2 linked regions of the Schizosaccharomyces pombe genome follow. Changing the gene in region 1 together with any one later gene gives a genetic interaction. Each region holds a gene or a part of one and is shown in the gene's direction. Other genes may lie near its edges.

What was found.
Region 2: of erg27 (region 1) and erg26, a mutation in one rescues a mutant of the other (synthetic rescue), as found in Schizosaccharomyces pombe (one large-scale study listed by BioGRID).

Annotation. Positions count from the first base shown.
Region 1 is NC_003423.3:1,108,700-1,113,047, forward strand, and holds erg27 (3-keto sterol reductase), read left to right. Parts: upstream 1-2,167; 5' UTR 2,168-2,190; coding exon 2,191-2,231; exon of another isoform or gene 2,232-2,278; coding exon 2,279-2,717; exon of another isoform or gene 2,718-2,765; coding exon 2,766-3,302; 3' UTR 3,303-3,736; downstream 3,737-4,348. Other genes in the region: tRNA dihydrouridine synthase Dus2, read left to right, coding at 29-197, 436-1,085, 1,127-1,747; RNase P and RNase MRP subunit Pop8, read left to right, coding at 4,036-4,088, 4,130-4,288, 4,346-4,348. UniProt on the Schizosaccharomyces pombe protein: 3-keto-steroid reductase; part of the third module of ergosterol biosynthesis pathway that includes by the late steps of the pathway. Erg27 is a catalytic component of the C-4 demethylation complex that catalyze the reduction of the keto group on the C-3.
Region 2 is NC_003423.3:4,186,717-4,191,053, reverse strand, and holds erg26 (3 beta-hydroxysteroid dehydrogenase/delta 5-to-4-isomerase), read left to right. Parts: upstream 1-2,288; 5' UTR 2,289-2,324; coding exon 2,325-3,347; 3' UTR 3,348-3,804; downstream 3,805-4,337. Other genes in the region: thioredoxin reductase Trr1, read right to left, coding at 1-787, 1,087-1,087; SPOM_SPBC3F6.01C (serine/threonine protein phosphatase), read left to right, coding at 4,160-4,337. UniProt on the Schizosaccharomyces pombe protein: Sterol-4-alpha-carboxylate 3-dehydrogenase; part of the third module of ergosterol biosynthesis pathway that includes by the late steps of the pathway.

The DNA of each region.
Region 1 (4,348 bases):
TTCCTTTCGATTAACCTCCCTTCTTGTCATGGGTCTGCTAAATTATAGCAATAAAGTATGTCTAGCTCCCATGGTTAGGATTGGGGAACTTCCCATGAGGTTATTAGCACTTCGATATGGCGCTAATCTAGTATGGGGGCCAGAAATTGTGGATAAAGCTCTTCTGAGTGGAACACCTGTAGAAAGAGTCGTAAATGGTATGTGTTAGTATGAATTACAATTTTAGAAGAAAGATGAGGATTAAATCGATATTGGTTGCTCGTGTAATTACATTGTTCACCCATGCACTTTCGTTTTTCAATACTATATTTGATGAATTATTTTTTTTATTAACTCGTGTAATTACATTTTTTGACATTTATTTAATTGAAAAACAAATTTCTTCTTCCTAATTGTGTTATTTTATTCAGTTATTATTGACTCAATTTAAAATAGATAGGATCAATTGCATCGATTTTGTTAAACCACCTAGCAATAAGGTGTTGTTTCGTGTGCATCCGCTTGAAGCTAATCGATTGATTTTTCAACTCGGAAGTGCATCCCCAGAACTTGCAGTGGAAGCAGCAAAACTTGTAGCTAATGATGTTGCAGGCATTGACTTAAACTGTGGTTGCCCCAAACATTTTTCTGTACATGCTGGAATGGGAGCTGGCCTTTTGAAAAATCAAGATCGTCTAGTCAGTATTCTCGATGCTCTAGTGAATGAGATCGGGAAGCCTTACAAAATTTCCATAAGTTGTAAAATTCGTTTATTAGAGACAAAAGAAGATACCCTAAAATTGGTAGAGCGCATATGCGATACAGGAGTTCGAGCAATCACTGTTCATTGCCGTACAACTCCAATGCGAAATACTGAGCCTGCAGATCGTAGTTATTTATCGGAAATTGTAGGCGTCTGTCGAAATAAAGATGTTTCGATCTTAGTAAATGGGGATGTCTTAAGCTATAATGATGGATTGGATGTTATTGAGAAATATGGAGTCGACGGTGTGCTTATCGCCAGAGCTGCTGAAAGGAACGTATCCTGTTTTCGAATAGAGGGCCCACTTTCTAGTTTTAAGGTTGCCGAGGAGTTTTTGAAAATGGTTTGTACTTTGCTTGTTTATTCATTACTAATTGTTGATAGGCTCTTGAGGTTGATAATAATTTTGGGAATACTAAATATTGTTTAAATCAAATCATGCAGGGTTCATTTCGGAAAAATGTTCGACAACTCGCTCAGACTGCTAAAACTTATGAAGACTTGAAGAAGGCATTTGAGATCGAATACAAGCATTCGGATGCTTCATCGGTCTGCCCTACTTTAGAAAAAGAAAAATCATTGGTTATATCTTTTGTAGATTTGCCCAGTTTTTTGGAGTCTTTATTAGCGTCCAATATTTTAAAGCAACTAAGTAGGCTTCATTTCACAAAAATCTTTGCAGTAAGTGAAGAGGAAGATATTTGCAAGCAGCTAGACGATATTCATGAGAAGTTTTTGTGCCACGGAATTGCACTTTCTTTAATTTCAGCTGATAACCTAGCTTCTGCAATCGCTAGTGCTCATCTGGTCATATGCATGGAAAAAGACGAATCTATTATGAATGAGGCTGTATGCGATCAAAAAATAACTATTCGTTTGCCGATCAATTCCAATACGAATGAAGCTGTAGTGGAATGTGAAAATAAGTCAATGCAAAGCAAACATGCATTGGATATAATTCAAGAAAGGATAAAGGATTTAGAAGAGAAAGCTCAAGTCGTTTAGTTTTTCGTGTAGTTAAAAAGTTTTTGTATAGTTTTGAAGTACTTACTGAGCATGTTTGGTTAATGAAAATTATTCTTATATCTTTTCGCTGCTTTGGTAAAGTTGAAGCATGGATTCTATCGTCTCCCATAAATGAAAAAAGCATTTTTTATTAGAATTATTATTGAGTTGAATCCAAAAATTTAATTGCTATTATTTAGGAAACAGAGTGTTTTGAGAGCTTTGTTATATTAAATTGAATGACGATCAAATACAAGCTAGTACAGAAATACTTATGGTTAATTGAATTTTGAATGATATTTTTTCTACCAATTTATTAATAAATTTTTTGAAAGAAGATAAAGTAGCTAAATACTTCGACGTGTAATTTCGAACGTATACTACATAGCTGACCAGGGTAGATATCAAACGATTTTTACTACTACCATTGTAAAGCCCTAACAATGAGTTTTCGTAAATATGCCTTAATTACCGGCTCCAACAGGTAAAATATTATTAAGATATCTAGAGCAACACAGTTAATGATTACAGTGGTCTTGGTTTTGGAATAGCTACGCGTCTTTTGCAGTTCTACCAACCGCGTTTGCAAGATGAACCCGAAGTATTCACGGTAATTCTTACATGCAGGAGTCGTGAAAAGGCAGAAGATGCCTGTAGAAGATTGAAAGAATTCTTTCCCGATAGGAAAATACGGTTGGAATACGTTTTGTTAGACTTGTCGAATATGGCATCAGTGGAAGCTGCGGTGCAAGATATCGCTACTAGATTCCCTAAATTAGATTTTGTTTACCTAAATGCTGGTGCTTGGGACCTGGAAGGTATTCAATGGCTAAAGGCTATCTTTTCTACTTTGATCAACCCTATCCAGGCACTGACGCATCCAACCTTTTACAAAGAGACTGCTGGACGTGTGAGCAATGACTCCCTCGGTTACATATTTGAAAGTAATGTTTTTGGTCATTTTTATTTGGTAAGTTTTTTCACCTTAATTCCGTATGTTAGTACTAATTTACATAAGAAAAATCGCCTGGCCGAACTAAAAGTGCTCCGTTCGTCAACAAAGGTAGTCCTTACAAGCAGTTTAGTAGCAGAAAAAAAATCCCTTGATTTTGAAGACCTACAATGTTTTCACGGCGAGCAACCCTATCAATCTTCAAAGCGTTTGTTAGATGTGTTACACTATGCAGAACTTGAAAAGGGACTCCCTTTTGAACAATACCTTGTCCATCCCGGACTATGTACTACTAACATGTATGAAACTTTCCTCGGTCCTATATTGGTTATGTGTGCAAAGCTCGGTTTCTATATTTGTCGCTTACTTGGAAGTCCTTGGCATACAATTTCTCCATACGTTGCTGCTTTTGCTTTTCTTTGGACTGCTTTACATGCTACCAAAGAAGATCAATCTATCAAGTGGGGAGCAGCCGTGACTCGTTTTGGTCATGAAAGAGTCCTCTCTACTCCTGTGGAATTAATTTTGCCTTCAGAGCAAGAGAAAGCTTTAGAATATATGACAAAACTTTACCAGGAATGGAAAAAGAAGCTGGTTTCGTAAAGGGAAACATTTACATATTCTCTTGCGCGGAGGCCTTGATAAAAATCTGGAGTACCAGTTAATTTTAAAGTGCACGAGACGAGGGGAGTTATGAAAGAACAATCCCTGATTCATTGCATTCTCAGTAAAACATTTTGAAAATTGCTTTTATCAAATTTTGCTACAATCGGTATAGATATCTTGACAAAATGAATAGATAAGGGGATTTTAACCAAGTCTGGAATATAGTTTATGTCTCAATTTAGTTAATACAAACATACGAATTTATTAGAACCTCGGACTCGGAAAAGTTTATATGAAGAATTCCGCGAGTTGCCGTCTTTGTCTCATGCTAGCTATAAGACCGCATTTCGTAAATTGTGTATCTGGATATATTTTATCAACCAGCAAAATTAAATTATGAAAAATAGCAATAATTCAAGTTATTAAATTTTTCTAATATTACACTTCGAATTGAAGGCTTCCTCATTTTGTTCAGCTGTTTGCTTTCTACAGGCATGAAAACAGGAAACATAATTAAACAGTACCTCAATTATTCGAAGATTAGCCTTCACATAACAGTTTATGTGATGGTACGATAATTTTAGTATGATAATTACGAGCTTGTAGATTCCACAGGAACTGCAGCAAATGCATCCTTAAACGTGTTGGTATCGTACTTACTCAGAAGTTTACTTCTCTATACAACTTTCACCAGACACGATCTGCCTTCCTTTTGAGTTAAAAAGAGGCCATGGTACTTCATCAACGTTTAAAAAGCGAATGGTCATATATAATACTTGAAGTGTAAGGAAGTCTGGGATAATTTGTTTCACTGACATACTTAGGGTTGGAGGTACTACCCCTATAGATGAAATAGACGATATTTCTTTACGACATCTCATCACATTAGCTCTAAATCAGTCATTTGGAATATTTGGGTCTGCAATTCCTATTGATTTTTTGCATCGACAATCAAAATTTTTGTATCTAAGGTGCCATAAAGAGTATGTCAACTACTGTAATTGTAATGTGCTATTTTACTTACTGAACAATAATAATAGGGA
Region 2 (4,337 bases), 3.1 Mb from region 1:
AGCTCAATTTGTTCAGCTACTAACTTAGTAGCAGGGATATGTCCAATAGCATAAAAGAGTCCGTTAACCTGAAGATCAGAGACTTCATTCGTGTTGGTATTCTTGATACGAAGGTTATTGAGCAACTTGCCATCGCCTTGGGCCTCCTCAGCAACGGTGTTCCACAAAACTTCCACCTTAGGGTTAGCCAAAAGACGCTTGGCCATAATGGGAGAAGCACGAAGCTTGTCACGGCGCACAAGGACATAAACTTTGCTACCATACTTTGTTAAAAACTGGGCCTCTTCGGCAGCAGAGTCACCACCACCAACGACAGCAAGAGGCTTGTTACGATAAATGGGAACGGCACCATCACATACAGCACAAGCAGATATACCTGCTTGCCAATAAGTATCCTCACCAGTAATGTGAAGGCGACGAGCGGAAGCACCAGTAGCCAAAATAACGCTGTCAGCGGTATGAGGCTCTTCCTCTTCAGCACCCTCCAACCAGTACTTGAAAGGGCGAGAAGAAAGATCTAATTTGGAAACAGTCTCGGTAATAATTTCAGTTCCAAAACGCAAAGATTGAGCGCGGAAGTTTTCAGTAAGGGTAGTACCATTGATACCATCGGGAAAACCAGGAAAGTTTTCGACATCGGTGGTAGTAGTAAGCTGACCACCAGCAGCAATACCGTTGGCAAGCATACCTTCGTACATTACGGGCTTAAGCTCACCACGGGCGAGATAGATGGCTGCAGTATGGCCGGCGGGACCAGACCCAATAATAACAACCTTGTTGTGAGTCACTAATGAAGTCAGTAAAATTAAAAAAACAAAACAAAAAAAGATAAACGTTAATGTTGTAAGGCGAGAAGGATAGAAAAGCTGAAAGAACACAAGATAACCATTATCGAACAATGATAAAAAAACAGATGAAACCCAATCTTACACGTGAGTTCGGAAATAAAAAAGTTTCCTACTAATCAACAAAAAAAAAGAAAAAAATTCATCACCGAATTAGTTTTATTTTTAGGTAATAATTTTTTTTTTGTTGGGTTCGACTTCATCGCCGTCACATTTCCTGCACGTTTTTCGTTTCACTTACTATTGATATGAGTATTTGTAGAGAAATATGTTTGTTTTAAAGGGGAATAAATAGATCCTAACTTCAAAGATTTCTTAAAAGAATCGGGTATGCCTTTATAGAAGCTAAATTTCTGATAAGGAAAGAATGTCCTGAAGTATCGAAGGAATGCGATATGGTGGTAGTGGGTAAATTGATTCTTATATAGAGCCCTGGGAAATGGTGTGCTTACTAGCGATGAATAATGAGACTCGTTCGAGACATTCGTAAAAGTGCGAACGCTTAGATTAACAGTGGCAGAACGAGACACCGATATCGCGTAAGCAAATTTAATGCCAACATGGTAGAAGAGGGTATAGGAATGTCGAGAATTAGTGAGGCCACGATAAATGGACGAACCACCAAAGCCATGAGTAAGCGACGCTTTGTACATGAAAGACGACTGACCTATGCTAGTACAATAGAAAGAACTCGACAAGAAAAATCCACGTTTTTGTTAGTTAAGAGTTTAAGCCTCCACAATCCAAACAAATTGTCAAAGAGACGCGCAGAAAGCAAAATTCTCAATGTAGCCGTGCTGGGCTACTTGCCTTACTAAGGTTTTAACCAAAAACAAGTATGATTCAAGTGCGATTGGTGTAGCCTAGAAAAAACAATTGCGAAAAGTAATTTCAAGGAAACAAATTTTAGTCGTTTACAACCCAAAAAAGAAAAATTTGCTGTTCCTGCGATCAACACTGCTTAATAATTTATTTATTAAGGTTACCAACGAGGAAAAATGTTTTACGCTGAATATTGTGATTTGATAAAAGGTATAACGATAGAATTTATAAATAATAAATTGGTTTAACGTTCAACGAAGAAAGTACGAAAATTGGGTTTTGGCTGCTATCAACATTATCGAGCTTTAAGGTAGCACGCAGCATTGCTTTACAATAGGCCAGTTTTAGATGTGAACGGTACGAGGTCGGGAGGTCATCGTTTTCTTGTAATGGTACTCGAGATGTTACTCACTTAATTTTTCTGTTTTCTAAGTGCGTACTACATATTGTACTAATAGAGTTTCAATCGGCTACTATCCTCTAACCCATGTTCCATATTCAACAGCTGCTCTCTTTCTCGCTAATCATGGTTAGTGTATTGCATCTAGCCTACACCCCAAAAACACAGGTAGCAAATAAGCTCACTCATTTCTCGATATGGTGTAACGTCGAATACCTGGCAAGAACCAGACAATCGTTTATTCTTGTATTTTTTTAATGCCGATGAATTCCGTGTTAGTTATTGGAAGTGGATTTTTAGGAGGTCATATCATACGGCAGCTGTGCGAACGTGAAAATCTTCGAATTGCTGCATTTGATCTCTTTGAAAATGAAAAGTTGCTACACGAGCTTCATGGTCAATTCACCATGTATACGGGTGATTTAACGAAACAAGGTGATATTGAGCGTGTTTTTGAGGAATTTCATCCACGCGTAGTTATTCACACTGCTTCACCTGTGCATAACCTTGCTCGTGATATTTACTTTGAAGTGAACGTAGATGGCACAGCGAATATCATCAAAGCATGCCAGAAATTTAATGTTGATGCCCTTGTTTATACTAGTTCCGCAGGTGTAGTTTTCAATGGTGCTGACCTTATCAATGTGGATGAGTCCCAGCCCATCCCAGAAGTTCATATGGATGCCTATAACGAGTCCAAAGCTTTGGCAGAAAAACAAGTCTTGGAGGCAAGTTCTGAATCTTTAAAAACTGCTGCCCTTAGAGTTGCTGGTTTATTTGGTCCAGGTGATCGCCAACTCGTCCCTGGTATGCTTTCTGTTTTAAAGAATGGACAAACCAAATTTCAATTGGGTGATAATTTGAATCTTTTTGATTTTACCTACATCGAAAACGCTGCCTATGCTCATCTTCTGGCTATGGACAATTTACTTTCTAGTAATCCTACTGCCAATGGCCAAGTCTTTTTCATTACCAATGGACAGGTTATTTACTTTTGGGACTTTGCACGTGCTATTTGGGCACATGCAGGACACGTTCCCCCTTATATCATCAAATTCCCTAGACCGGTGGGTATGCTCTTAGCCACTGCTGCTGAATGGGTTTGTTATTTCTTGAAAAAGGAACCTGGCTTTACACGTTTCCGTGTCCAATTTAGTTGTGCTAACCGTTACTTTAACATTCAAAAGGCAGAAGATGTTTTGAAGTACCATCCCATTGTGGATTTGGAGGAAGGAATTCGTCGTACTTTGGCTTGGATGGATACTGAGAAAAAACATTAAATTGAGCCATTGGCCTTGTTATTCTTTAAAAGAATATTTAATTTTTAAATTCTAACGCTTCGTAGTCTTTTTTCATTTCTACATAGTTCACTTTCTTCTCGATGAGTTCTACCTCTTGAGCATGTCGATACGAAACAGTTTTTTTCCGCTTTGGAAATTGTTAATGACTTATATCATCATTTCATTTGATAGATGATTGCTCAGATCTTAAAAAAGGAAAAAAAAATATTTGGGTATCTTGGAATATAGACAAGATCGAATAACATCAATATAACGTTCTCTTTGTACTTTCTACTCGTTGTGCTTGAGACGAGAAGGATACAGCTCGTTTGCTTTTGTTATCTTTCTTTGAACTATACGAAGATTGTCCGGTATCACTTGTGTTTAGAAAACAATGGTTATTTCCTTTACATAATGATTGCCTTGTAAGTTTTTCTCATCTGAGATGTATTGATGTATTATAAGTTTCGAGTCATTTTATTTCGTAGATAAATGAATAGACACACTTCATAGAAACTGCTTTTATTACGCTTGTAAGTTTTTGAGATTTCTAATGTAAAACATTGTGTAAATTCTGTATTTATTTTTTAATATGTATGCTGCGTTGCAAAGTTTGCATTTATAAAGCCATTAATTTGTTGTTCTAAAAATATCATTTTGATCTTTGAGAATCCTAAATATCTGTTTCTTTGTAGCCCAATACTACCAATTATTAAGCTGCATTGTTCGGACAGATAAAAACTTTTTTAGCTACTATCAACCACCAAACAAAAACTCACAAGGGCTTGAATTTGTACTTTTTGCTCAATAAAATGGCTAAAGAAGCATTGGAATTAAAAAATGAAGCCAACAAGTTTCTAAAAGAGGGACATATCGTTCAAGCTATAGATTTGTATACAAAAGCCATTGAGCTTGATTCTACAAACGCAATTCTTTACTCCAATAGATCTCTTGCACATTTAAAGTCAGAGGATTATGGTCTGGCAATCA